7 linked regions of the Mus musculus genome follow. The protein of the gene in region 1 purifies or fractionates together with the protein of each later gene. This does not show direct contact. Links are inferred from orthologs where the notes say so. Each region holds a gene or a part of one and is shown in the gene's direction. Other genes may lie near its edges.

What was found.
Region 2: the proteins of Ddx5 (region 1) and Hnrnpr fractionate together in Homo sapiens (co-fractionation; 3 studies listed by BioGRID and IntAct, with this or other methods). This does not show direct contact. The link is inferred for Mus musculus from reciprocal best matches to the Homo sapiens genes DDX5 and HNRNPR.
Region 3: the proteins of Ddx5 (region 1) and Drosha purify together in Homo sapiens (co-immunoprecipitation; 4 studies listed by BioGRID and IntAct, with this or other methods). This does not show direct contact. The link is inferred for Mus musculus from reciprocal best matches to the Homo sapiens genes DDX5 and DROSHA.
Region 4: the proteins of Ddx5 (region 1) and Dhx15 fractionate together in Homo sapiens (co-fractionation; 3 studies listed by BioGRID). This does not show direct contact. The link is inferred for Mus musculus from reciprocal best matches to the Homo sapiens genes DDX5 and DHX15.
Region 5: the proteins of Ddx5 (region 1) and Hnrnph1 purify together in Homo sapiens (affinity purification with mass spectrometry; 4 studies listed by BioGRID and IntAct, with this or other methods). This does not show direct contact. The link is inferred for Mus musculus from reciprocal best matches to the Homo sapiens genes DDX5 and HNRNPH1.
Region 6: the proteins of Ddx5 (region 1) and Trim25 purify together in Homo sapiens (affinity purification with western blotting; 3 studies listed by BioGRID, with this or other methods). This does not show direct contact. The link is inferred for Mus musculus from reciprocal best matches to the Homo sapiens genes DDX5 and TRIM25.
Region 7: the proteins of Ddx5 (region 1) and Cdk9 purify together in Homo sapiens (affinity purification with western blotting; 3 studies listed by BioGRID, with this or other methods). This does not show direct contact. The link is inferred for Mus musculus from reciprocal best matches to the Homo sapiens genes DDX5 and CDK9.

Annotation. Positions count from the first base shown.
Region 1 is NC_000077.6:106,785,642-106,789,928, reverse strand, and holds the start of Ddx5 (probable ATP-dependent RNA helicase DDX5), read left to right. Parts: upstream 1-1,434; 5' UTR 1,435-1,612; coding exon 1,613-1,656; intron 1,657-2,854; coding exon 2,855-3,020; intron 3,021-3,384; coding exon 3,385-3,481; intron 3,482-3,569; coding exon 3,570-3,703; intron 3,704-3,796; coding exon 3,797-3,862; intron 3,863-4,287. Other genes in the region: Cep95 (centrosomal protein of 95 kDa), read right to left, coding at 552-570. UniProt on the Homo sapiens protein: Involved in the alternative regulation of pre-mRNA splicing; its RNA helicase activity is necessary for increasing tau exon 10 inclusion and occurs in a RBM4-dependent manner. Binds to the tau pre-mRNA in the stem-loop region downstream of exon 10.
Region 2 is NC_000070.6:136,327,902-136,331,547, forward strand, and holds part of Hnrnpr (heterogeneous nuclear ribonucleoprotein R), read left to right. Parts: intron 1-1,464; coding exon 1,465-1,600; intron 1,601-3,646. UniProt on the Homo sapiens protein: Component of ribonucleosomes, which are complexes of at least 20 other different heterogeneous nuclear ribonucleoproteins (hnRNP). hnRNP play an important role in processing of precursor mRNA in the nucleus.
Region 3 is NC_000081.6:12,831,237-12,834,882, forward strand, and holds part of Drosha (ribonuclease 3), read left to right. Parts: intron 1-2,592; coding exon 2,593-3,426; intron 3,427-3,646. UniProt on the Homo sapiens protein: Ribonuclease III double-stranded (ds) RNA-specific endoribonuclease that is involved in the initial step of microRNA (miRNA) biogenesis.
Region 4 is NC_000071.6:52,180,428-52,184,073, reverse strand, and holds part of Dhx15 (pre-mRNA-splicing factor ATP-dependent RNA helicase DHX15), read left to right. Parts: intron 1-2,898; coding exon 2,899-3,092; intron 3,093-3,646.
Region 5 is NC_000077.6:50,380,583-50,383,903, forward strand, and holds part of Hnrnph1 (heterogeneous nuclear ribonucleoprotein H), read left to right. Parts: intron 1-876; coding exon 877-1,015; intron 1,016-1,954; coding exon 1,955-2,133; intron 2,134-2,217; coding exon 2,218-2,289; intron 2,290-2,345; coding exon 2,346-2,479; intron 2,480-2,596; coding exon 2,597-2,732; intron 2,733-3,097; coding exon 3,098-3,157; coding exon of another isoform or gene 3,158-3,187; intron 3,188-3,248; coding exon 3,249-3,321. UniProt on the Homo sapiens protein: This protein is a component of the heterogeneous nuclear ribonucleoprotein (hnRNP) complexes which provide the substrate for the processing events that pre-mRNAs undergo before becoming functional, translatable mRNAs in the cytoplasm.
Region 6 is NC_000077.6:88,997,900-89,002,249, forward strand, and holds the start of Trim25 (E3 ubiquitin/ISG15 ligase TRIM25), read left to right. Parts: upstream 1-1,503; 5' UTR 1,504-1,589; coding exon 1,590-2,183; intron 2,184-4,350.
Region 7 is NC_000068.7:32,709,960-32,714,233, reverse strand, and holds the start of Cdk9 (cyclin-dependent kinase 9), read left to right. Parts: upstream 1-1,449; 5' UTR 1,450-1,577; coding exon 1,578-1,669; intron 1,670-2,121; coding exon 2,122-2,203; intron 2,204-3,442; exon of another isoform or gene 3,443-3,666; coding exon 3,667-3,757; intron 3,758-4,024; coding exon 4,025-4,191; intron 4,192-4,274. UniProt on the Homo sapiens protein: Protein kinase involved in the regulation of transcription.

The DNA of each region.
Region 1 (4,287 bases):
TTCCCGATGCCTATGTCGCACAGCTGACCAAGCCATGACAACCATTTTGGAAAGAGAGGAAAGCGTCCTAGACAACCGAATCAATTGGCTTTTCAAAGGCAGTACTAGAAAATGCCAGTTACTCTAGAGGGCATCAAAAGAACTTATGAGTGCTATGCCTCAAAAAGGAAAAAAAAATCAATATAAAGATAAGTTCTGCCTTAGTCCAAACAAAGCAAGGGGAAAGAGAGACAGTCTGTGGATAGATACCCCACAAAAATTCGGATCCAAGAAAGGATCTTGACTGCTCTATATAGACAGGATGCGGGTGTCCCAGGCTCGACAAAGAGTTCCTATCTCATCCCAAGTCTCAGTTCCACGTCTGGAAACCGCAAGAGGTTTCGAGGCTGAGACCCTAAATTCATAGAACCCCCCCCCCCACCGCGCGCGCGACTGCAACTAGTGTCCGACAGTCCCGAGCCTCCGCAGCGGCGCAGACGCGGTTCAGATTCAGCCCAAGGTCCGCGGAATGCTGCAGTACAAAACCACCAGGGCTCCAGGCCGAGACTCACCAGCCTCTGAGCTGGCCATACTGCCAGGAGAGGTCGCGGCCGGACTCCAAGACGAGAGCGCGGGCGACGGTGTCCCAGAAGGGTCGAACTCGGTCGAGCCGACGGGAGGAGGAGGGGGCAGACACTAGCGAGCGGGGAAGGAGGGGTGGAAGAGGGAGGGACGTTAAAACGGCTTCTCGACGCTGATTGGACAGCAGAGGAGCACTTCCTCGCAGCACGCGCTGAGGCGGCAGTTTGCGGGCTCCAGATACCATTCCCCGCGGTCAAGATCCCGCTTACGGGTTCTCAGATCGGCGGGCAGGGCAGCCAGGTCACCCAGCAGCCCGGCCGATCTCCCCGGGGGCGTTGGAGCCGCGCTTCCGGTGAGTTGGTGGTTTGGTGTTCCTCCGCCGAGAGACCAAGCGAGGAAGTAGTGCGATCCGCCTTGCCCTGGGTCCGATCACGTGATGAGGCCAAGCTCCGCCTCCCTGGTCTCCTTCGGTTATGGGCGTGGGGGGAGTCTGTGGAGACGTAAACATCTTCAAGTAGAGTCGGTGGAATGGCTGGCGCTGGCCATTTTAAGGACCGTCTGGCCACGGGGAAGCAGCTTGTCTGAGGTGTAGCGAGACGAGAGACGGCGGTGTCGCCAAAAGGGCGTCGGGGCGAGGCATTCTAGTGGTGTCACCCAGTCGTGAAGCGAGTAATAAACGGGCGCCGGGGAGGGAGCGCCCGCCCGCGGAGGGGGAGGGGCGAGAACATGGCGGATTCCGGAACCCGGGCGGGCGGGCGTTGAGGGCCTCCGAGCCAGGGGGGCGGGGTGATTAGGTCATAGAGCGGCTCCCAGCGTGCTTTGCGGCGAGGAGGCGGTCCAGACTATAAAAGCGGCTGCCGGGACGCAGCCGGCACCTCATTCATTTCCATCGGTCCTTGCCCTCGCAGCTCCGGCCCTCGACACCACCGGCCCCTCCGCTGGTGACGCCCCCGCAGAGGCTTCGCCGTCGCCGAGGCCTTCTCTCCGCGACTCGTCGCCGCAGGATTCTACTTTCACTGGGTTCCGCCCGCACACCGCCACCATTGACGCCATGTCGAGTTATTCTAGTGACCGAGACCGCGGCCGGGATCGAGGGTGAGTGTGACAAGAGACCTGTCAGGCCGGGTGGGGGATGGGAGAGCGGCGCGGCCGAAGGCTCGCCTTCCCAACCGACCTTTAGATTTTTTTTTTTCCCTTCCTGAAAGGAGGCCTGGCTTTTGTCACACGTCCGGTTAAAAGCCGTTAAAGGCTACGCTTCGGGTAATGGCGTTCAACCTTTTTTTTTTTTTTTTTTTTTTTTTTTTTGGTCCGGGAGGGTGGGCCGGGACCCGGGGCGGCCCGGCGACCTCGCGGCTGTTGAGGGAAACCCGGAGGAGTGTTTTCGGTCGGGAAGCGCCGCGCCTTTGAGGCGGTTCCCGGCGTCGTTTGCGCAATCTTTCGTTGGGTTGTTTTTTGAGGGGGGCCCCCCCTTCCGGTATCCCCGGGGGAAAGAAGGGGCGCTTTCGAGGTCCCCTGTGCCCCGTTGGGTGGCCTACGCCGGCGGATTCGGCCATGTGGCGGAGCCGCAGCCACAAAATGCCGGCCTCGGACATGGCGGCGGCGCCTTTGTTACCCCGCCCGGCGGAGGAGCTCAAAATGGCAGCGGCGAGAAAATGTGGCGCAGAGAGAAATGCGAGACAAAGAAGGAAGCGCCGCCCCAGCGGGAACGCCGCCCGGGCCGGGACTCCTCCCCCGGTTGCTTTCGGCTCCTCCTCTTTTTCTCCCTCGCGTTATATAATTTTGTTACCTTGGTTTGCAGCCGTTCGCGGCGTTTCCCTAGACTCGGCTCGCTGGCGCCTGTTCCCCTTTCTACCCTGTCCGCCGTGCTAGCCTCGTTCAGCTGCTCACATTGCCTTTGCGGCCCCGTTATTTCTTTAAGATTAGGTCCTTTGATGAAAACGGGCAAAAATAACCTTCCTAAGCTCCTCCCTTCTTGCCCAGCTCCTAGACGCTAATGCCTAAGCTCTGTGGGGAGAGAAGATGGAGGCTCTAACTCTTGTCCTTGTAATCTGGTCAGATGTTTGGGCTGTTTGCCACCTGATAAACCCACGATGTTTATTTGGCCTCAGTAGAGTGTGCTTGGGACTTCAGAAAAGAAACGCTGCCAGTTGTGGCTGTCCTTAGAATGACAGTTGGGAAGGATTCCAGAAGCACACTTTGGCTCTATCAAAAGGCAGCAGATGAAATGTGAGGGCAAACCTGTTCATGCAGTATCTTTCACAATGTGCCCAACTTTTGTTTTGTGTGTGTGTAGGTTTGGTGCACCTCGATTTGGAGGGAGTAGAACAGGACCCCTCTCTGGAAAGAAGTTTGGAAATCCTGGGGAGAAACTAGTTAAAAAGAAGTGGAATCTTGATGAGCTGCCCAAATTTGAGAAGAATTTTTATCAAGAACACCCTGATTTGGCAAGGCGCACCGCAGTGAGTTTATAAATGTGGCTTCTTCATGCTGTAACTCAGTAACTGCTTCTAGTCAATTAGATGGAAATGTAATAGGTGCCTTGCAAATGGAGAGTTGCTTGTGGTGCACTTCCATTGAATTTTTCTTGTGATATATGGTGCCCTATTTTAATCCTGTCACTGGGGAAACAGGTTTAGCAGTCTATTGGGCTTCATAGAGACTCAATTTTCATTTAAATAAGTATTATAAATTAATTATTAATTTTTGTTGCCAAGTAGAGTTCTTATTTATGGGTCCAGATTTTTAGAAATAAGTATGTTTAAAAGTTTATTGAGCTATAGGGAGCATGGCAGAAGTCTGAGGCTGAGATAATTTGTTTTTCAGCAAGAGGTAGATACATACAGAAGAAGCAAGGAAATTACAGTTAGAGGTCACAACTGTCCAAAACCTGTTCTGAATTTTTATGAAGCAAACTTTCCTGGTAAGGACTAACTTTCATCTTTATCCTTTCATTTCCCCCCCCCCCCTTGCTTATAAATTTGTTTTTAAAATGGTATTGTTGGTTGCAGCGAATGTCATGGATGTGATTGCAAGGCAGAACTTTACTGAACCCACTGCTATTCAAGCTCAGGGCTGGCCAGTTGCTCTCAGTGGATTGGATATGGTTGGAGTAGCTCAGACTGGATCTGGGAAAACATTATCTGTAAGTCTAGGAAAACTTGATAAATTGTGGCAGAGGTGACCTTAGATATATAACTATTTTAATCCAATTTCTATTATTTTTACTCTTCAATAGTATTTGCTGCCTGCCATTGTACACATAAACCACCAGCCATTCCTAGAGAGAGGTGATGGGCCTATTGTAAGTATTATCTTAAGTTTCCCACCATATTTGCTAAAACTCCTTTGACTTTCATATAGGGAATATAGGGTTGCCAGTATAAACTAGCCACTTAAAATTAGTATCCAGCCCAGGCGTGGTGGCACACACCTTTAATCACAGCACTGGGGAGGCAGAGGCAGGTGGATTTCTGAGTTCCAGGACAGCCAGAGCTACACAAAGAAACCCTATCTCGGGGGGAAAAAATTAGTATCCAAAGACAGTTAGTTGGATCAGCCAATTATAGATACTTGTCATGAGCCTGATCAAGATCAACTACCACAAGGAGAGACCAACTTGCAAAAGTTGCCTTCTGGTTTCTCCATGTGCTTCCACACACAAAAATTTTATCCTGAGAATAGTGCCTGGGAGGTAGAAACTGGAGAATTCAGGAGACACTGTCTCAA
Region 2 (3,646 bases), on another chromosome or scaffold:
AGCAGCAGTAAGTTCTGAGTCTGGCCTGTATGCTTTCTGACTCTCGGTGTGTTAAAGTGACAGTGTTACTGTTTTTGGCAGATTTTTGCCAGACATCTAAGGGCATACGCAGTGTGGTATGGCAGGCAGTTCTTGTCCTTTTTTAGCACAGCTGTATCCACCAAGTGTTCTTGTTTCATCAGTGAGTTTGAAGCAGTCCTTTACTAGCTTGGTCCAGGGTTTAGTTTTTCTGATGGATTTTTCTCTTAAAACTTGTGTATTCAATATTAAGGACATTTCAAGGTTTTATTTTCTTGTTTTTGATAGTGTATAGGTAACTAAAAAGATTTATTTATTCATATATATGAGTGCTCTGTTCCCATGTGTATGACAGAAGAGGGCATCAAGATGCCCAGATGGTTGTGAGCCACCTTGTGGTTGCTGGGAATTGAACTCAGTATCTCCAGAAGAGCAGCCAATGCTCTTAACCACTGAGCTGCCTCACCAGTCCCATGGATAACTTTAAAAATATCACTTAGTAAACTAGTAGTAAGTAATGTTAAAACATAAAATAAAATTTATTAAAGAATTCATCACATTCTTTGTTGTCTTCATAAAGTTTTGAAAGTGTTCTGATATTTTATAGCTTTATTCAGAATTGTGGTTTGTATACAGTGTGAAACTCAAAGTTTTTTTTTTTTTTTTTCTTAAAGATTTATTTATTTATTTATTTATTTGTTATATGTAAGTACACTGTAGCTGTCTTCAGACACTCCAGAAGAGGGCGTCAGATCTTGTTACAAATGGTTGTGAGCCACCATGTGGTTGCTGGGATTTGAACTCCTGACCTTCGGAAGAGCAGTCGGGTGCTCTTACCTACTGAGCCATCTCACCAGCCCCCATAGTTAAAGTTTTAATTGTTCCTTTTTACATGTAATTATTTTGGCTATTGCTGATCTATATCTAATTTCATCCTCAAGGACTCAGAATAAATAAAAATAAATAATTTTCAGGTATTCCTTCTGAAATTCTCTGGAAGGGAATGTAGATAAAATTGAAATAAGTCAGCAGTGATGGTGCATGCCTTTAGTTCTAGCACTTGGGAGGTAGAGAATTGCAGGTGGATTTCTGAGTTCTAGGACAGCCTGATCTACACTGAGTTCTAGGGCAGCAAGGGCTATACAGGGCAGCAAGGGCTATACAGAGAAACCATGTCTCAAAAACAAAACAGAGAGAGGGAGAGAGAGAGAAAGGTGTGTTAAAATGAATAGCTTTGATCCCCTTTTTATATGGATGAACAGTAGAGGTTACAGAACTAAGCTATAACTGGGGATTGTAACGAATTCAAAATCTACACTCATGTTTCAGCAAGTGTGAGGGAGCTTGGTGAGTGTTTGATCTTAAATTGTGGGGCTCTTTAGATTAATATTAGTTGTCCTCAGTCTGGGATGGTTTGGGGGTCTCTGGTTCTTTTCTTCTTTGCAGTGTGACAGCTATGAGATTCGCCCTGGTAAACACCTGGGAGTGTGCATTTCTGTGGCAAACAACAGACTTTTTGTTGGATCCATTCCAAAGAATAAAACTAAAGAGAACATTCTGGAAGAGTTCAGTAAAGTCACAGGTAAAAAAAATGCATTTCGAAGTTGGTTTGTGGGGATCTGTTGCATTATTTATAAATATAAATGCTCTCCCAAAAGGAGATAGCTATAATAAACTTAGAGTTCAAGTTTCCTATGTATCAGTTGCTTCTTTCTGCTTTAATAGTAGTTGGACTAAATAAATGTCTAAGTAGTATTGATTTCATGGAATTTCCTTTTCACTTTGTCTTAATCGCATCTTGTTTTTTGTCAGAGCCTTTGCTCTCTAGCTCTCAAGTGGAAGCTTTTTCCTCCAATAACTTTTTAGGATTCGGGAGAAGACAGTTCTCATTTCTGGTTAGCCTGACTACATAACTTTATTTAAAGATTCTAATTGAATCCATGCAGTTGATTGAGAAGTATATTTTATACCACAGGTCCACATACTTAAATATATAACTGGGATGCATGCTTGTATTCTTAGCACTTGGAGGTTAGGAGTTTAAAAAAAGCTTAACTCAAGAACAGTCTGGGATACATGAGATTCTATTTCAAAAAGCAAAGCAGAAGACTATATGTATAATGTGAAAGAACTGAATAAGATTATACCTTGCCTATACCTACTTTCCATTCATTTTCACTTTTTATGTGGGTGTTGAGGCGTTGAACTTAGATTCTCTTGCTTTCACAGCAAGCACTCTTTCCACTGAGCCATTTCCCTACAGCGTTCAAAGGCCTGAAGTTTGCAGCGTAGACCAGGCTGGCCTTGAATTTACAGAGATTTAGCTGTCTCCACCTCCAGAGTGCTGGAATTAAAGGAGTGTGCCACCACGCCTGGCCTGCTCATTTTATTTTATTTATTATTTTTTTAAGATAGTTTTTGTTTGTTTTGTTTTGTTTTTAGTAAAGCTTAAGATCTTGACTCTTACTTTGGTACAAACCCAAAATAGGAACAATTTTTAGACATTGGAGTTCATTGTTATAAGGCTGTACTTCAATGTCCCTCACATCACCAAAGGATTTTACCTCCATAGTAGCTAAGAGTTGACGAGTCTGCGGTGTCAAAGGATGAATTGTAGGCACAGTTATAGGATACAGATTTCCTGCTTATGATCAAAGCTTTTAGACTGAGTGAGCATTTTACTTTTTAAATGTTGAGATTGCACAAGTGAGATGGCTCAGCTAATAGAGGTATTTTTACTGCAGGCCTCAGGATCTGAGTTCAACTCCCAGATTACAAAAATTAGAGAGAACCCACTCATTCGAGTTGTTCTTTGACGTGTACAGATGGATGCTGCCATAGGAGGAGTATCTGCTGATACACACTGGCATGCTTGCTCCCCCCACCCCCGTGAGTGTGTGTGTGTGTCTGTCTGTCTCCCTTCTTTTTCTCTTCGTTTTCCTTTCTTCATGCACATGAATGAATGAGACAAAGAAAGGGAGGGAAAGAAATGGTGAGATTATGATTTGAAAACACTGTTTTAAGATCATGACTTCCTCTTATAAAACCCACTATATTCTTTATGCTTTGTCATCCAGTCATACTGTCTTCTCCCTTTACTTAAACCTATCATTTATTATTCTGGTTTTACCCTTTTTTAACTTAAAGGTTGCCCCATATTAGTTCTTCTTCAGCCCTAAGTTGATTTATTCTTAGTACTCTGATTCATTCATTCACCCATTCATTCATTTTTAGTTTTTCAAGACAGGGTTTCTCTGTGTAACCCTGGCTATCCTAGAACTTGCTCTGTAGACCAGGCTGGCCTTGAAATTACAGAGATCCACCAGCCTCTGCCTCTCGAGTGCTAGGATTAAAGGTGTGCATCACCACCACCCGTGTACTGTAAAATCTATATAGATGACTTATCTAAGGCCAAACTTCAGTTCTATACTATCTAGAATAGATCCTGGATCTTTTCTTCAGAAATTCTATTCAGTCTGAAACCTTAATTTCCATTACCCATAAATTGTTCTACTGACTATTTATACAGTGATTCTTTTCTCTTTGTGTCCTTCTACTCATCCCTCCAAGTGCTTTCCAAAAGATTGATATATATCAAGTGTCCAAGTCAAGAAGTAACTTAATACTA
Region 3 (3,646 bases), on another chromosome or scaffold:
AGTCCTGGGCCATCAACTACAGCTGAGGCTTCACCTTCTCCAATGGCCTTCCCTGGCCTCTCACAGTGCTAAGCCTCAGCTTCTCTCCATGATCCCTTCATTCCTTCACAAGCAATACCACCTGAGTGACTCTTACACATTACCAAGTCCAGCCGCAGCATGAGGTACAACCTTGGGTATCTCTGGAGCACAGCTTCTTTGTGCTCCCAGAAAACAACTCCCAGATTTCAACTCAGTGATGCTGGTTTCTTCTTAATCACTGCTAATTCCTTAGCTCCAGCTAACCAGCATCAATTTTCCCAGTAGTTCCTTCCATTCTTAACTCTAGAGCCCGAGCCACATGGCTGAAGCCGCCGAGTTCTGCTGCTTACAGGAACTAGAACATGATCCCCTTGTACTATTACATTATCACTAGCTTTATGTTTCCTAAATCCTTCACTGCCTAAGCTTGGCTATCCTGGTTCTTGCTCTGTAGATTGACCTTGAATGCAGAGATCAGCATGCCTGTCTTGTGGGATTAAAGGTTTGTACCACCATGCCTGGATCTAAATTCAGCTGGGTAGAATCTTGCCCCAAGGTCCCACTCCCTTAATCTTTTATCTCCTAGAACACAAGATTTTGCTCCATTTCACTTCCTGGTACTCCTTTAATACTCGAACCATATATTTTATATTTTGCCTTTCTAAGCTTGCTATGCTTGTTCAAACTTCTCTTTGTGAGACTTAACCAGAGAACAGAGTCTCTGCTGGGCCTTTTTGAAACTTTCTTTGTCAATGCAATTAATGCAATTAATCCAAGTCTCTTCACCTTAGCCTCAGGCAGACTTTTCAGACAAGGGTAAAAAGTAGCCACATTCTTCACCAAAATACCACAAAAACGGTCTTTATGCCACATACTGAAATTCTTCTCCTTTGAAATCTCTTGGGCCAGGTCAACACAGTTCAAATCACTCCCAGCAACAAAGTCTTCCATATTCCTACTTGGATGACCCATTAAGCCCCATTTAAAACAGTCCACTGTGTTCCAAATCCAAAGTCCAAAAATCCACATTCTTTCAAATAAAAGCATGGTCAGGCCCATCACAGCAATACCCCAGTCCCTGGTACCAACTTCTGTCTTAGTTAGGGTTTTACTGCTGTGAACAGACACCAGGACCAAGCAAGTCTTATAAAAAACTACATTTAATTGGGGCTGGCTTACAGGTTCAGAGGTTCAGTCCATTATCATCAAGGTGGGAACATGGCAGCATCCAGGCAGGCATGGCGCAGGAGGAGCTGAGAGTTCTATGTCTTCATCCAAAGGCTGCTAGTGAAAGACTGACTTCCAGGCAACTAGGGTGAGGATCTTATACCCACACCCACAGTGACACACCCATTCCAACCAGGTCACACCTATTCCAACAAGGCCACACCTCCAGATGGTGCCACTCCCTGGTCCAAGGATATACAAACCATCACACCCAGAGAGGGCACCCAGCATCCGTAGTGGCCTGGAAAGTAAACTGGCTGCGGGAGGTTGCCGGGGATGTGTTGGCAGAAGCTGATTGAAGTATTAACATGGGCACCAGCCTGCCCATTTAAGTGGTGTTCAGCAGTCCTGTTTTCTCCCTGGCCTTCAGGGAATGAAATGTTGGTTCCTCCTAAGTCCGAGGCATTGCCTGGTGCCCACTAAAGTAGAGTGGGTCAGAGCTATATAGGCTGTTTTAACAAATGAGCTATTAAGACACTGGGCAAGATTAGAGGGACATGTGGGCAAGGGTAGGAAATGGAGAGGAGAAGGGTCCAGGGATTGGCTGTAGTGGTGGGCTGTGTGGAAGAGACGGGAAACAGCTGGCTATAAAGATTTTAGGAAAAAAAATTCTTTTATATGGGTTGAATATTTTGGTGGTACTGATTAATTGTGTACGGGTAGTTAGGTATTTAAGAAACCTGTTTGCATAGTGTGTACATAGTGATGTGTGTGTGCCTGTGTAATTTTCTCCTCAGGCACTACCCACCTTATTTTTGAGACAGGATCTCACTGTATGACTGGACAGTGAGCCTCAGGAATCCTCCTGCCTCTGCCCTCCCAGCTCTGGGATTGCAAGCACATCCGCCGTGTTTGGCTTTTTGATTAGTGTTGTGCTCCGGGGCCCGAACTTGGGTTCTCATGAGGTTTTTAAAATTTTACTTTAAAATTTACGTTTATAGTCCGTGAGCATGCGCATGAATCTATGCTTGTACCTACGTGTGTGCGTATGTGCGTGCACCTGCGTGAGGGGGGGGGGGAAGCGTATGTACGTGTATTAAGTGTATGTGTGCGCATGCGCATGTGTGTTTTGCGCATGCGTGCACGTGTGCGTGTGTGAGTGTGCTCGCGCGCGCCCGCGTGCGCACGGGTGTGTGCAAGAGAGATCGCGAGGGGTGTATGTGTGTGTGTGTGTGTGCATGCTGTGCGAAAGAGAGAGATCGCGAGCGCGCGAGGTGTGTGTGTGTGTGTGTGTGTGTGTGTGTGTGTGTGTGTGTGAGACAGCTTGCAGGAATCACTTCCCTCCACACTGAGGGTCTTGGTGAGGCCCATGTTTTGATTTCTCCTTTTCTCTTCTCTAAAAAGTCATAGAATGTCGTACCACCCAGGACGAGGGTGTCCCCGGGGCCGAGGAGGACACGGAGCCAGACCTTCAGCACCAGCTTTCAGACCCCAAAACCTGCGACTTCTTCATCCCCAGCAGCCGCCTGCGCAGTATCAATATGAGCCTCCGAGCGCCCCCTCTTCCTCCTACTCGAACTCTCAGGCCCCCAGCTTTATGCCCCCACGGCCAGACTTTGTCCCTTACCCTCCCCCAGCGGCGCCGTCTGCCCAAGGGCCTCTCCCTCCCTGCCCAGTGAGGCCGCCTTACCCCAACCACCAGATGAGACACCCTTTCCCGGTGCCTCCCTGTTTTCCACCCATGCCCCCTCCGATGCCTTGTCCCAATAACCCGCCTGCCTCCGGAGCACCTCCCGGACAAGGCACTTTCCCCTTCATGGTGCCCCCTCCTTCCATGCCCCACCCTCCGCCCCCGCCCGTCATGCCGCAGCAGGTTAATTACCAGTACCCCCCTGGGTACTCGCACAGCTTCCCACCGCCCGGCTTCAACAGTTACCAGAACAACTCCAGCTCTTTCCCACCCAGTGCTAACAGCAGCAGCACTCCTCATTTTCGACACCTCCCACCATACTCACTCCCAAAGGCTCAGAATGAGAGGCGGTCCCCAGAAAGGCTCAAGCACTACGACGACCACAGGCACCGAGATCACAGTCACGGGCGAGGCGAGAGGCATCGGTCCCTGGAGCGCAGGGAGCGCGGCCGCAGCCCTGAAAGGAGAAGACCTGAGAGCCGCTACCGCTCAGACTATGATCGGGGGAGAACGCCACCGCCTCGCCACCGCAGCTATGAAAGGAGCAGGTGAGCCCATGCCAAGTTCCTTAATAAAGCTGTCTGCTGGGCAACAAAAACTTGTGCACAACCCCCCATCCCCACCCCGTTTTCTTTTGAGGCAGGGTTTCTCTGTGTAGCCCATGCTATCCTGGAACTCACTCTGTTGACCAGACTGGCTTTGATTCTTCTACCTCTGCCTTCCTACTGCTGGGATTGAAGGCGTGCCATACCACTGCCTGGTATGCAC
Region 4 (3,646 bases), on another chromosome or scaffold:
TGAATAGTGTTTAAAAAAAAAAACTTGAACTTGCCAGTCATGATAATGCATACCTTTTAATTCCAGCATTTAGGGATCAGGTAGGCAAGTCTCTGAATTCAAGGTCGGTTTTATCTATATAATGAGATCCTTTCTTAAAAGAAGAAAATGATTAGAAACGCTACAAGGTACAAAGTGTGGTTGTGACCTGCATCCATCTGCCTCTAGCATACAGTACTAAACACTGTTAAATGTGTCTCACCAGGTGCCCAGTTTTTAAACATGAACAAGTCGATCTTGTTGATAGACATGCAGCCTGTTTTATATTTTGTATATTATTGCATCTATTTATGTGTGTATGTTTGTGTATGGATGCACCCATGCCGTAGCACATGTGTGGCAATCAGAATAACTTAGAGTTATTGTTCATCCTATGGGTATTGAGAATTGAACTCAAGTTGTTAGCCTTAATGGCCAGTGCCTTTAACTCCCTCAGCTGACATACCAACCTCAGGCTTTGTTTAATGACTTCAGGGATAAGTATGTTTGTAGATTTTGAAATGGCTAGATTTATTACAGTTGTACTCCATGTAGCTAAATCTTCTTTCCTCATGGAGCATAGCAAATTACTCTTGAAACATCTATAAACTTTTTGGTTATATCCCTGAACTGTTAATCTGATGGTTGAATGAAGTACTTGTGGATTTAATAGGCACTTGGAAAGCCATTAGTTAAAAAAAGTTTCGTCTTGACTACAAAAGTTGCTGGACATGGTAGACATTTCTAAAATTCGGGAAGATACTGAAATTAACTTTATAATTGTCTATTTAATATGCAAAGATAAAAGGCATTTATTGGCTTACTCTTTACGTTTTTATGAATGTAGGGTAAACATTTATAGTTGGCACATGCTGCTAAGCAAGTGCTTATCACTTATCACTGACCTGTACATTCAGACCCCCCTGCCCCCCCCCCTTTTTTTTTAAGGAAGGATCTTGCTATGTAGTCTGTCTAGGCTTGCTTCTAGTTTACTGTCCTGCTGCCTGAACCTTAGGTGTGGACCACCATGTCTGGCTTAGGATTTTTCTTTATGTGATCAAAGTTGAGTATTTCATAGAGACATTTTGATATTGTAGCAACCAAAAATATTAAAAGACCCAATTGAGGGACAACTTGATGCTAATAAGAACTCAAACTTTTAGCTGTGGATGATGACACCTTTAATTTCAGCGTGTGAGAGGCAGAGGCAGGGCAGTTTGAAGGCAGCTTGGTATACAGAGAGACCCTGTATCAAACCCTTAACTTTTAAATTTAATGTGTTGAACTCTTGTAAAAAAAGATTCATGAGAATGTAGCTTTAACTTTATTAATATCAGTAGAATTTTAAATTATTTCACGTGCTATTAATAATCTTTGTTTAGTTAGTGTTTTTTGGAAAGTCAAACCATATGTATTTTTCATGCTTTTCCATTTTAAGTTTTTTTTTTAAAAATAAAATAGATGCATTGAAGGTAGTTTGCATTGAACAGATGGACAAACATAAAAAGAGAACCAAGTGCTGTCTATTAAGGTGGAAACTAGAATTGGGAATATGTAAAATATGTACTCTACTAGAAAAGTTTTGTCTGAAAAAAATTTGATGTGGGAAAAAAATTCAAGTTTATACAAGATGGGTTTTCATTAGGAATTAATATGTAAATCTATTACTTTCTCATTAGTTATTTTAAGAGTACAAAGAACTTTTTTGAGTTCTTTGAGATTTGTCAAAATAACCAAAATGAAGTTAAGTCATTCATTTCATTGGAATGGATTTTTTTTTTTTTTAAATCTGAAGAGTTTAAAGAACTTTTAACCTGCTAGTCAGTGCTTTGAATTTCACAACAGAACATCACTTCTTACCTGTTTTTGGAGGAGGGTTGGTGAAACGAAGGTAGATCCTCAAAGCTTTCCTAGGAAAGCACTGTGCTGGCCTCCAGAACTAGGAAGATAGTCTTGGTAGTTCTTCATTTAGGCCCTTGAAAGACATACACTAGTTTCTTTGGAGAAAAAGTATAATTGTCTCCCCTTTGAGTTATTTGTTTTATGCATGAACTAGCCCTAATTGAAAAAGTAATCTACATTATATAACAGTATATCAGCTAACATTTCTCATCAGATGTCATCATATAAATTCTGAAATCCAAGCTTCTCCATTCCTTAGGGTTTCAGAAGCTTTGATGAGACAGATCTAGGTACTTTTGTGGAGGATTCTTACTGAAGATTGTGAGCATTTACATCTTCCTGTTCAATTAAATGGCTAGAGAACTAAACCATGAGAGAAGCCCTTCCCGTCTACGTAGTGTAGTAAATAGGTCACCATAATGACCCATCTTGAGCTTCACATTTTCTTTTCCCCTTTTCCCTTGGCTGCTGTTCTCAGTCCTTTTGAACTTGAGGGTGGCCGTTTTGATAACTTTTAAGATGGTATCTAAGGTGCTGTCACCGTGCATCCTGTTGCTCCTAAGGAAAAGTTAACAGTGTTAGGATGACCTTTTGATGGCTTGCAGTTTATATACTCGTGCCTACATTTTTATAATTAAAAGTGTGGTTTTCAAAAGTGCACATTGCTATATTTAAAGGATCGAATTTAAATTGGATGTTTCTTCTGATGCTTAGAAAATACTAATGGTACGAGCTGTTCTGTAGAGCATATTGAGCATAGTCTGAGCTGACCTTGTCTTCCCAGAGTGTGATTAGGTTACATCTGTGTTGTGTATGATCCCTTCTGGCTTACAGGGCTCATGTTATTGTAACTGGAGTCATAACTTCTTTGCATAATTGAATTTTGCCTTAAATAATTAGAATAAAATATAATATTAGATACAGATAGTTTGTATGCAGGCAGAGTACAAATAATTTAAATGTGAAATTATTTCATAGATACCACAGTGGTGTGTGGAGTATATGCGATCCTTGCCAGGACCCAAAAGAGGAGTCGCCTGTACACAGCCCAGGAGAGTGGCTGCAATGAGTGTGGCTCAGAGAGTTGCTGATGAGATGGACGTGATGTTAGGCCAGGAAGTTGGATACTCCATTCGATTTGAAGACTGCAGTAGTGCAAAAACCATTCTTAAGTAAGTACTCTATCTTTAAAATGGATACTACTCTAGTCATAGTTTTTTTTTTCTTCCATTAGTTAAGGAGTTTTACTAATGGAATTACCAGTTTTAAAATACAATGAAGTGGACATGCTAGGCGATGACTAATTAGTGTTTTTTCTTGGTGGTAATGCTCTTCAATAGATATTCTGTTTCAGTTATGTGGTGCTATATCATCTGTGAAATGTTACAAATATCATAAAAGGTGATAAAGGGTAAAAATGTTAGTAAAATTACTTTCAGGACAAATGCTATGTGAGTGGGATATGATTTATTTATGGGTAAGGGAAATTGTGTAGTTCTTGCTCTGTGTGAGCTCATGGGGGAATCTTGTTCTGTAATAACGTGGTTATACTATTTCAAGGTCCTACTTCTTTATACCTGCTGTGCTCTTGACCATTTTGAGTCTTGTAGCTTATTTACATAATCGTTTTCTGTGTTTTAGAATTAACATTCTGCTAAAGTAGTGAATTTGTTGTCTAACAAATCTTACTTTCTCCTGCTGATTTTATGTATCCACATTATAGACA
Region 5 (3,321 bases), about 56 Mb from region 1:
CAGAATGTTAAATCTTGTATATTTTAAGTACTATTAATACTCTTGATGACATAGACAGAATTAATCAAATATCTTAATAGTTTTTAGCATAGTATGTATTAGAACTTTGACTAGAACTTTATATATGTATCAATTTGTAATATTTTATAGTTTGAAATCAAGTCTGTTTTGTTTTATCTAAATTGGTGAGAATTGAATGCTATCTGTCAACGTTAAATATGAACATAATTTCATATCTTCTAGGAAAGTGCTTTAAGGCCTTTTTGTAAGCTTGGGAATGTATCCACGGGAAGGATTTTTCATAGACGGAATTTCCAGAAGTGAATCATACTACTGTTAGAACATAAGAGTGCATGATTGCTTTGTAGATAGTTATTGTTGAAAGTTTAGTTTGTATGTTTGTCAATTATGATTTTTAAAATGTTTTCAATTTTTACATAAACTGTTTAAATGTGTAATTTTAAAATTGAAGTTCCAATAACTTAAAAAGAATTGAAATATATGAGGTTAAAAGGTTTCTTATTTTACTTAAATTGTTATTTTAATGCTTAAAAAATTTAAAGTTCTTGTATAATTCTATTAAGATGCATAGATTAAAATGTTTTTAATTGTTGAATTCTTAATGCACCCTCTGGAGTATAACACTTTTTTTTCTTTACTGTATATACTATGCCTTGGGTGTGTTAAGAATTGAGTTATACTCTTTATAGTGGAACTTCTTATTATTGCAATGCATATTTTAAGAGTACTTGTTGAAAGCATACCATTCACCTAAAGTTAAAATTCTGGTTTATTTAAAGCTATAAGAAGAATCATTTCTGGGCTTGTGATGTTAATATTGCCCCCCTACTGGGGTTATTTGTCCTTGGGTTGAAGGGTTGGAAATCGTGCCAAATGGGATAACATTGCCGGTGGACTTCCAGGGGAGGAGTACGGGGGAGGCCTTCGTGCAGTTTGCTTCACAGGAAATAGCTGAAAAGGCTCTAAAGAAACACAAGGAAAGAATAGGGCACAGGTGGGGATGGATGGTTGGTTGGATATGTCACTTTTCTTATGGTAAACAATTAAATCCATATTCTCTCTGCTTAGAAAGAGGAAATTACCCATTTCCTATTCCCAGTTAATTGATAATCTGCTATAACTTCTAAATTTTCCCAGTTAATGTATTTCATTCAAATTAAACTTTAGGCTTTAAAATTATCCCTAGTTTATTGGGCTGTCTTTACAATTTTGTAGGACTTTTAGTTTATTAACCCTAATCAATAGAGTTGAGAGACTATGGCTTTAAAAAATTACTACAAACCTGTCTTTAGCTGTAATAACACCCATATAGGAAATTAATATTACCATAAGAAAATGTGATACTTTCTGATCTTGTTTTTAAAGTTGAAATGCAACAAACTTTTTCTTGCTGTATAAATATTCTGCATATGTATTAATAAGCATAGCTTTCAAGAAATTGTCACAAAGGGTTTTATTCTCTTTGCTTGTGACTATTTTTCATTGAAGCATGCGCTTTTTTACCTATGCTGATTCCTACTAAAAGCATAGGCTGGGTACTGGCGAAAAGAAGTGTGTAGTGTGGGCTAGACTGTTGGTGGAGGCTGGCTTTTTAGCCCACTTGCTACACATACTGCCAAAGGAATTGAAATAATGAAAGTTGAGTGGAATTATTCCCTCCTAAACCATTTACTTAATACTCCTCTCTGCCTCTAAGGCTGGGCTCTGCCTCAGAGGAGTTTATTTTCTTTTTTTCTATAAAGTTTAAATAGTCTTTTGAGTGAATTTTCTGGTCATTGCCTATACAAATAAATGTAAGAAATCTGGCTTTAAATATTAGTCAGTTTCATGGCTATGACTAAATTGTTTTTCTTGTATAACAAAGTAATTGTATGACATGAACTAATGTTTTCTCTCCCCTCCCCATTCCCCTTCCTTTTGGACAATGCTTTAGGTATATTGAAATATTTAAGAGCAGTCGAGCTGAAGTTAGAACTCATTATGACCCACCACGAAAACTTATGGCCATGCAGCGGCCAGGTCCCTATGACAGACCTGGGGCTGGCAGAGGGTATAACAGCATTGGCAGAGGAGCTGGTTTTGAGAGGATGAGGCGTGGTGCTTATGGTGGAGGTGTGTATATGCTGAACCAGCTTCCTTTGTGTGTGTGTGTTGCTTCCCCCCACCTCCCGACTAATTGTACTTTTTTTCTTTCAGGCTATGGAGGCTATGATGATTATAATGGCTATAATGATGGCTATGGATTTGGTTCAGATAGATTTGGAAGAGGTAAGGTAAGAATTGAATTTCTCAATTGAAGGATATTTACACATTTGTCCATCTAGACCTCAATTATTGTTTTTCAGGAATGTCTGACCACAGATATGGGGACGGTGGCTCTACTTTCCAGAGTACAACCGGACACTGTGTACACATGCGGGGATTACCATACAGAGCTACTGAGAATGACATTTATAATGTACGTGTTCAACTAAATTCACTTGGGATAATTCAGTACAGTAGTAAAAATAATGGGGTGATCATTATACATTTTGATTGTTAAAAGCTGTCTAATTTTAAATAACTTGTATTTTAGTTTTTTTCACCACTCAACCCTGTGAGAGTACATATTGAGATTGGACCTGATGGCAGAGTAACTGGTGAAGCAGATGTTGAGTTCGCAACCCATGAAGATGCTGTTGCAGCTATGTCAAAAGATAAAGCAAATATGCGTAAGTGTGATTAAATTATTTGTAACCTCAGGCAGTTCAGTGACAAGCATTTAGAATAGATTAGTAAGGGGATATATAGGAAAGATTTGATCTCTAGTGAGGAAGCTTGGTTGTACTGAAGGAAGCTTATGTGTGTGTGTGTGTGTGTTTTTAAACCTATTGGGATTTGTGATAAGATATAATCTTGAAGTTTGACCTTAGTTGATATGATAGTTCAAAGATAAGTGTTTTAAAAGCTAGTTCTTAACTAACATGGGAATTTTCTTTTTGCCAAAAACATTTGTGATTCACAAATTACTTTTAAATTGCTTAACTTGTTTTCTTTTACAAACTAACAATTTCAAACTTTTTTTTTCTCATTTCAGAACACAGATATGTAGAGCTCTTCTTGAATTCTACAGCAGGAGCAAGCGGTGGTGCTTACGGTAGCCAAATGCTAGGAGGCATGGGTTTGTGTAAATATCACTTTAGTGTCTTTTTTTAAGCTAACCTTGTATGCCTTTTCTCTCATTTCAGAACACAGATATGTAGAACTCTTCTTGAATTCTACAGCAGGAGCAAGCGGTGGTGCTTATGGTAGCCAAATGAT
Region 6 (4,350 bases), about 18 Mb from region 1:
ATTACTTAAGTGAGGGTAGGGTGGGTTCTATGTAGCCCAGGCTGGCCTTGAATTTGAGTTCCTCCTGCTTCAGTCTCCCCAGAGAGAGTTCTGGGATAATAGGTGTGTCCCACCTCACCCAATTTAAAAGTATTATAACCAATCTGGCTTAGATGAAGAAATTCTTAAGAGACACTTGTGTCTCAATCTGTTACATTATTGAAACAGTGAACCCCAGAGAAATGGGAGTTTCCTTGGAATCTCATGCTGGGAGAGACCAGAGGGAGAATTTGTCTCCTGGGAAAAGATTTCACAGTTAGTACAGCTTGTGGGACAGAACAGCTTACCAAATGAGATTGAATCCCAGACAATGATGGGCCACTGGTAGGCTGGACCAGGTCTGGACTGGCACTTAGATACAAATATTTTTGCCTTCTGTTTTAACTCTGTTCTCACTTCAGAACGGGGAAGGTGGACTTGAGGGGTTTGCTGGGTCTCTTTTTTCTGTTTTCCTCTTTTAAGTAGGCTCATTTAATTGGCTTAAGGACCGGTGGCTGGAGCTGACTTGGGGCAAAAGTTGTGACACCCAACTTTTGTAATATTAGGTTTTGTTGTTGTTGTTTTAAAGATCATCTACCATAAAAGGAACACCAGATCTGAATGGATGACCATAGGGTCCTGCCTTTAGGGCTTGGGAGGAGATTTGTCAGAGCCCACCATCAGGAAAGAAGAGGGAGCTGCATACAAAGGCAGCACAGCTGGAGGGAAGGGGAAGGGAGGGGGAAGGGAAGGGGAAGGGAGGGGGAAGGGAAGGGGAAGGGAGGGGGAACGGAGCGGGAAGGGAAGGGGAAGACAGCCACAGTCCATAGAATTGTGTTTTGTTTCTTTTCTTTTCCTTAAATTATTATGTGTATGTTATTGGGGGAGGGGGGTGTCAATTTTGTGCAGTCTTAACCAGGGTTTTAGTAATTGTGTTTAGGTCTCATATTCTGTTGTACAGCCATCTCCCCAACCCTATTTTTAGATGTTGAGACGGCCACTAACTCTCTAGCCCGGTCTGACATCGAACTCACGGCAATCCTGTTGCCTCAGCCTCCTAAGTGACTAAATTACGGGCACGAGCCACCAAGCTCTGGGTCAACAGTATTTTGTTCTGTTTGGCTTTGAGTTTTAATAAGACCGGTCCTGTTCTGGAGGGATGATTGGTGACACCTCGGGGACACAGATGAATGTTCTCCAAAGCTCTGCTGCACTGTGCTAGGACGTAGGCCCCGACCAGGAGGGTGGGAATATTCCAGCCCCTGCGACAATTCATCTGCAGAGTGCCTCTGAAACTGCACCTGGTAGCCCTTGGGTCGTGCGTCGCTCGGGTCCGCGGGGTGTGGAGAGCATCAGAGTTCCCCAGGTCCCATAATCACCTTTGGCTTCCAGCACCAGGAGGGAAGCCTCCCGCCCACTGTCCGGCCCCCAGGGACCCACGTGACTTCCTGAAGCCCCAGGGCGCCGCCCCTCCTGTTCAGTTTCGATTCCTTCCTCGCTGCTTCTTAAGTACCGCGCGGTAGGGTGCGCAGCTGTCCCTGCGCGTCACGTCGGGTGAGCCCACGAGCGCGATGGCGGAGCTGAATCCTCTGGCCGAGGAGCTGTCCTGCTCCGTCTGCCTGGAGCTCTTCAAGGAACCTGTCACCACTCCGTGCGGCCACAATTTCTGCATGTCATGCCTGGATGAGACGTGGGTCGTCCAGGGCCCGCCGTACCGATGCCCGCAATGTCGCAAAGTGTACCAGGTGCGCCCGCAGCTGCAAAAGAACACGGTAATGTGCGCGGTGGTGGAGCAGTTCCTGCAGGCCGAGCAGGCGCGGACCCCGGTGGACGACTGGACGCCTCCTGCCCGCTTCTCCGCCTCCAGCGCAGCCACCCAGGTGGCCTGCGACCACTGCCTGACGGAGATCGCAGTGAAGACGTGCCTCGTGTGCATGGCCTCTTTCTGCCAGGAGCACTTGAGGCCTCACTTCGACAGTCCGGCCTTCCAGGATCACCCCCTACAGTCGCCCATTCGTGACCTTCTGCGCCGCAAATGTACCCAGCACAACCGCCTTCGGGAATTGTTTTGTCCCGAGCATGGCGAGTGCATCTGCCATATCTGCTTGGTAGAGCACAAGACCTGCTCCCCTACGACCCTAAGTCAAGCCAGCGCCGACCTGGAGGTAGGGAGTGGCTGGTTGAGGGTATAGAGGACAGCTTGGATCAGCTGAATTGTGGAGAGGCCATCCTGGGTATCCCTGTAGTACAGTGGGTTGCTAGAGGAGATAGGCTTTGCTGGGCCAGAGATCCCATTCCTTCACAGACCTCATGGCCTTAGGCTCCGTGGGCCGCAGTCTGGGAGTTGGGCAGTAGGAAGCCATCCCCACAGACCAAACAAGTAGATTTTATATAGCCTCCCGCTCATCCATTATCGCCTGCCTTCTCCAGCCCTCTTAGTTCTATTTTACATAGAGCACAACGGAAGGCACAGGTAAGAGTGCCTGCCCCAAGTCTGTGTTTGTCCAGTGGAGTTCAGTAGTTTTGAATATTAACCAGGAACCCTGGGGGTTACCTCTCCAACCCCTTCAGATCCTGGCAGCACGAAAGGGCTGTGTCTGTTTAGTTCATTCCACAGCTCAGGGCTGTGTCTGTTTAGTTCAGGAAAACAGGCCCAGAGAAATTAGCTTAGCAGGAACCAGGCTGCTTTGAGTCACAGCTTCTGGTTTCCTTTTTCCCTGTAGACCACAGATCTGTTGAGTCCAGAGCATGGAGCAGTCTTGGAAGCTTGAGGTTAAGGGTAACAGAAGCCTCTGTTGAGGAGGGTGTGAATGGATAGTGAGTGTGAACACAGAGCCTCAGAAATCCCTGCTTGTGACTTTGGCACTGTGGTATAGCCCTTTTTTGGTTGTTTTTAAGACTGTCTCACTATGTAGTCTTAGCTGTTCTGGAGCTTGCTATATTGACCAGGCTGGCTTTGAACTCATGGAGACCTGCCTGCCTCTGCCTCCCAAGTGCTGAGACTAAACGCACGCGCTCAGTTGGTGTAGTCCATCTTGCTGTGTGAAAATTGAGCAGGGCCTGGCGTGGTGGCGCATGCCTTTGATCCCAGCACTCGGGAGGCAGAGGCAGGTGGATTTCTGAGTTCGAGGCTAGCCTGGTCTACAGAGTGAGTTCCAGGACAGCTGAAGCTATATAGAGAAACCCTGTCTCGAAAAACCAAAAAAAAAAAAAAAAGAAAGAAAGAAAAGAAAAAAGAAATTGAGCAGGAATTGGGCCTCTGGACCTGGGTCCGCCTTGCTAAAGACTGGAAGCGTGTGTCAGGGAGTCAGGGTTCCTAATGGCCTTGTGGGGTTGCAATGATTTTAGTGGCTTTAGAGGTCCCCCCCCCATTACAGACTCAAAGCAGTTGTTGCCTCTCTTCGGTACATTTGTCAAAGTGTGATCTGATCTCCTTTCTCTCTCAAACGTCTGAGAACTTGAGGCCTGTCCCAACATTGTGGAAGGAATTGGAAACCTGGGTGAGGTTGGCAAGCCTTGCTGTGTGGTGCCAAGATCTCAGCTCCGCTCCCTCCTCCTGCCACAGCCCTTCCCTGGCCTTGCCTGCCTGTCTGGGTCTTAGTCAGGTCCCTTAGAATGTCTTCCCTCTGATTCTTGGCACCTGTATCTACAGGTAACATCTTTAGAGTTCTCTTCAGTATACCCCATGTGGGTACGGGGTACGGATACCTCCAAGTCTAGCTGTTCTGGGAGAAAGTCTGCCCCGCCTTTGGTGCTTTTGTCTTTGCTACCACCAGAGCTAGCTGTTTGGCTTGGGGCAAGACCCTACAGATCTCTGGGTAGGTCAAGAGCCACCAGGGAAGTGCCGCAGAGGCAGGATCCGGTGTCAGGAGGCTTGGCACTTAAGAGGTCCCTCCCAGATTCAGTGCCAAGATCTTGGTTTAAATTGTGACCCCCAGCAGTAGCTTCCAGCTACAGAAGAATAAAATGGGGAACATGATGGTCTCCAGTTACAGTGAGGGCTGGTGAGATGGCTCAGTGGGTAAGAGCACCCGACTGCTCTTCCGAAGGTCTGGAGTTCAAATCCCAGCAACCACATGGTGGCTCACAACCATCTGTAACAAGATCTGACTCCCTCTTCTGGAGTGTCTGAAGACAGCTACAGTGTACTTACATATAATAAATAAATAAATCTTAAAAAAAAAAAAAAAAAAAGGCATGCTCCAGTTACAGTGAACCTTGGGTGAAGTGAAGCTGGTGTAGTGGCTCATGCCTGTAATTCCAGCCCTTGGGAGGCTTAGGCAGATAAATCATGAGTTTGAGGCCAGCTTGGACTACATCGTTTCAGGTCAG
Region 7 (4,274 bases), on another chromosome or scaffold:
AGCACCAGACCAGCCACGACTTGTCTCCATCAAACAAGAGGGGGAAGCAAACGGGAAGCCTGCAGCTGACCCTGGAGAGTGGGGTGGCAACTCTGAAGACAGGAGGGATTGGGAAACTGAAACAGAAGGGAGCTTGTAGGACCACAGACCAGGAGGTAAACGCTGGAAAAATCGGCCATGATCAGCTCAGAATTTCAAGACAGTAGAGGAAGACAGAACAGACTTCAGACTCTCCTCTCTGTCTCTCTGTGTTATTGTTGTTTTTCCTGGCTGTCCTGGAACTGGCTCTGTAGACCAGGCTGGCCTGGAACTCAGAAATCCATCTGCCTCTGCCAAGTGCTGGGATTAAAGGCGTGCGCCATCAAGGCCCGGCTCACGCCCATTTCAAAAGCATCAGGAGTGCCGGCTCAATGTTAACAGTTTTGGGGATGATTGACTCTGGACAGACCAGCTTTGGCGCGGCTCTGTGAAGGAAGGTTGTAGTAGATCCATCCTGACAACACAAGATCCAAGGGTTTAGGCCTGAGCGTTGATCGCTCACCGCCCACAGTGTCGCCGCGCCCCCTGGCGGCCGTCAGTTGCCATGTCAACGGCGGGTGGCTGAGACGACGGAGGCGGCAGCGGGGGCAGTTCTCTCTTCCCCTGGCCTCAAGGCCGCTCCCACGGCACCTCCTGCCTTCGCCTCACCGGGAGCACACTCCCGGTCCTGGAAGAAGGGCCATTCTGTAGCAGCTGGCATTCGGGGGATAAACTGAGGCACGCAGGAGGGAGCCGCAGGCAGGTGTCTAGTGCGGAGCCCCACCTCCAAAGGCAGAGGAGGGGCTGCGAGCAGTGACGCGCCGAGGGCGGACGCTGGACTGGGAGCGGGAGGGCGGGAGGCGGCGGCGGCAGGTGCGGCTGCGAAGGGTGGGAGGAGGAGGGAGGGGGTGGGCGGAGGGGGAGGGGAGGCCAGGACGGGCACCTCCCCCTTTATAACGCGCCCCCTCCCGGGCTTTCGGGCCGCCTCCTCGTCTGCTCTGCCTATCTCGCCCCCTTGCCCTGCCGCCCCGGGCCGGGCTTGGCCAGGGAGCCTCCGCCCCCAGGCCTTCCCCCCACCACCACCCGCCGCCCCGCGCAGCCCGGCGGAGGCGGCGCCGTCGGAGGAGGAGGAGCAGGGCACTGCGGCTGGCCCCGGATCGGGAGCCAGAGCGGCAGCAGCTTCGGCAGCAGCACGGCCCGGGCCAATGCAGCGGGACGCACCGCCGCGAGCCCCAGCCCCAGCGCCACGGCTTCCTGCGCCCCCGATCGGGGCCGCCAACAGCGCTGGCGGCGGCGGCGGAGGCGGGGGCAGTGGCGGCGGCGGAGGCTCCTCTGCAGCTCCGGCTCCCCCTGGCCTCCCGGGAACTACAAGTCCCAGGGGGCCTGGCGGCGGGCGGAGACCGGAAGAGGCGGGCTCGGCACCTCGAGGCCGGAAGTGGCCGTGGAGGCGGAAGTGGCGCGGCCGCGGAGGGGCCTGGAGTGTGGCGGGACCGGGAGCGGCGGGAGCTGCGGCTGGGGGCGGCGGCGGCGGCGGCGGCGGAGGCGCGCTGGAGGTGGCCATGGCCAAGCAGTACGACTCGGTGGAATGCCCGTTCTGCGATGAGGTCACCAAGTACGAGAAACTTGCCAAGATCGGCCAAGGCACATTCGGGTAAGATTAGGCCGCGTGGGACCGCGAGCCCGGGACCTGCACTTTCCAGGGCCGACGTCGGGTCGCCCAGAGCCCGGGCCGAGGTGGTCCGGAAGCTTCTGTTTTCGTGGCTGTTGCCCGGTCTTGCTCGGCCGCGGCGCAGACGTTCCCGGCCCAACCGAGCCGACTGGCGGGGAGGAGCCTGGGGCCCGTGATGGGGGTTGGGTAGGGTTGCTGAGAGCCACTCCGAATGTGAGCGGCCACCTCTAGGGGAGGAGTAGGGGCTGAGTAGGAGTAAGCAGAGGCCGGGAGGAGGACGGAAGACACGCGGTGTGGAATGACCGCGTCCCGGATCCGAGGCCGCACCCCGCCCGCCGTGGGTCTGGGCTCCTGCTGCTCCCCTTCGCGCGGGGGAGGGGCACTCCCTGCGGAAATGCCTTATGGGTCCCTTGGGTCTTTCTCTGTGCCTGCAGGGAAGTCTTTAAAGCCAAGCACCGTCAGACGGGCCAGAAGGTGGCTCTGAAGAAAGTGTTGATGGAGAATGAGAAGGAGGGGGTGAGTATATGGACCACTGGGCCGACCTTCTTCTAACCTGGCTGGGTTTCCACACCGCTACTTCAAAGGGTTTTGTGCTGAGATTCGACCTAGTGTTTTTCGGTTTTCCATGGAACAAGGAATTTGGCTTTCCATTTACACTGTTGAGCTTTAGTGGCAGAGTTCTGTGGGAGCCACGGGAGGGAGCCTGTGCTTTTCCCATGGAGTGCAGGTTGACTCTAGAAAACTTTCAGCTTAGCTTGGCGTTGAATTTTGTTTTGTATGAAGAGACCATTTGTGCACAAGCCGTTTAAAAGGCCGCTGAGCTTAAGGTGATGTTCTGAAAGGTGTTGTTTCCATCAGCCTCAGCAGCATTGCCTTTGTAAGGAAAATGCTGTTTGTCTTACTTTGCGTCTATAGGGTCTTCTGTTTTCTGGCATGTCTGTGTACAGCACTATTCTCCAGTACCTGGGTACCTGAGGAAGCCAGAAAGGTGTGCCAGGTTGCCTTGGATCATTTGGGACAAAAGATCCACTGTGTGGGTGCTGGGAATTGAACCTGGGTCCTGGGGGAGGATAGCCAGTGCTGTGGTGTGTGTGTTTCCCTGAAACAGGGACTCTATGTTTTGTTTGACACAAAATCTCTCTGTAGCCCCAACTGTCCTGGAACTCACTGTTTGGTCCAGGCTGTTCTCAGACTCACAGAGGATCAACTGCCTGTGTTTCCTGACTGCTGGAAATAAAGGGCTGGACTGCCACACGTGACCATAGCCAGTTTCCTTAACCATTCAACTATCTCCATTCCCAGGAAATTTCTTGATCTTTTTGGTTTTTTTGAGACAGGGTTTCTCTGTGTAGCCCTGGCTGACCTGGAACTCACTTTGTAGACTAGGCTGGCCTTGAACTCAGAAATCCACCTGCCTCTGCCTCCCAAGTGCTGGGATTAAAGGCGTGCGCCACCACTGCCCCACAAATTTCTTGATCTTAACTCACAAGTGTTAGTGACAAAATGTTTATCCTTATTTGGGTTGTCTAAAATAAATTCCCAGTCTGGAGTAAAGGGTTGTGATTATAATCCCAGCACTTATGAGACTGGGGAAAAAAGATGGTTCATAAACAAGTTCAAGGCCACCATTATCTAGATGGCAACATTTAGCAGCTCCTTGAGATATGTGTGTGTTTGCACTTATTTTATATTTTGCAAAGGCTAGCTACAGATAAATATAGATATATCTTCCCCTCTCCCTTCTTTTTGAATCAGGAGCTCAACTAAGCAGTCTGGCCTTGAACTTGGTGGTTCTGATGTCTCTGTCTCCTGATACGAGAATTGGATTCCAGATAGGAACCATCACACAGGAACGATTCTCTCGCCTGTCTTTCAACCTCTGTCCCTCAGTATAGACCCCAAACACACCCCCACCCCACCCACAGTTCCTCCGTCTGTTGTGCTCTCAATTTTGACCACTTCCTCTTTCTCCTCCCTAGTTCCCCATCACAGCCTTGAGGGAAATCAAGATTCTACAGCTCCTAAAACATGAGAATGTGGTGAACCTAATTGAGATTTGTCGGACCAAAGGTGTGTTGCTTGCCTCAGGAGAAAAGGGGGGTTTGAGACAAGGTTTCTCTGTGTAACCCTGGCTGTCCTGGACCTTGCGCCATAGACCAGGCTGGCCTCACACTTAGAGGTCCACCTGCCTCTGCCTCCCGAGTGCCGGCCCCCCATCTTCTCTGGTCTTGTTTGGAGTTGGGTGTCTGTGGGTTGGAGGGCTGGGAGTTGGCTGTGGAAAATGAGGTGGATGCAGGTTTTTATTTTTTATTTTTCTCTCTGCCCCTTCTGTATCAGCCTCACCGTATAACCGCTGCAAGGGCAGCATCTATCTGGTGTTTGACTTCTGTGAGCATGACCTTGCTGGGCTGCTGAGCAACGTCTTAGTCAAGTTCACGTTGTCTGAGATCAAGAGAGTGATGCAGATGCTGCTGAACGGCCTCTACTACATCCACAGGAACAAGGTGGGGCAGAATGGGGCTTCTCTGCTCTTGACTGCTGTGTAGGCCAGGCTCCAGGATGCTATGAAACCTGACTGAGCTCTTGT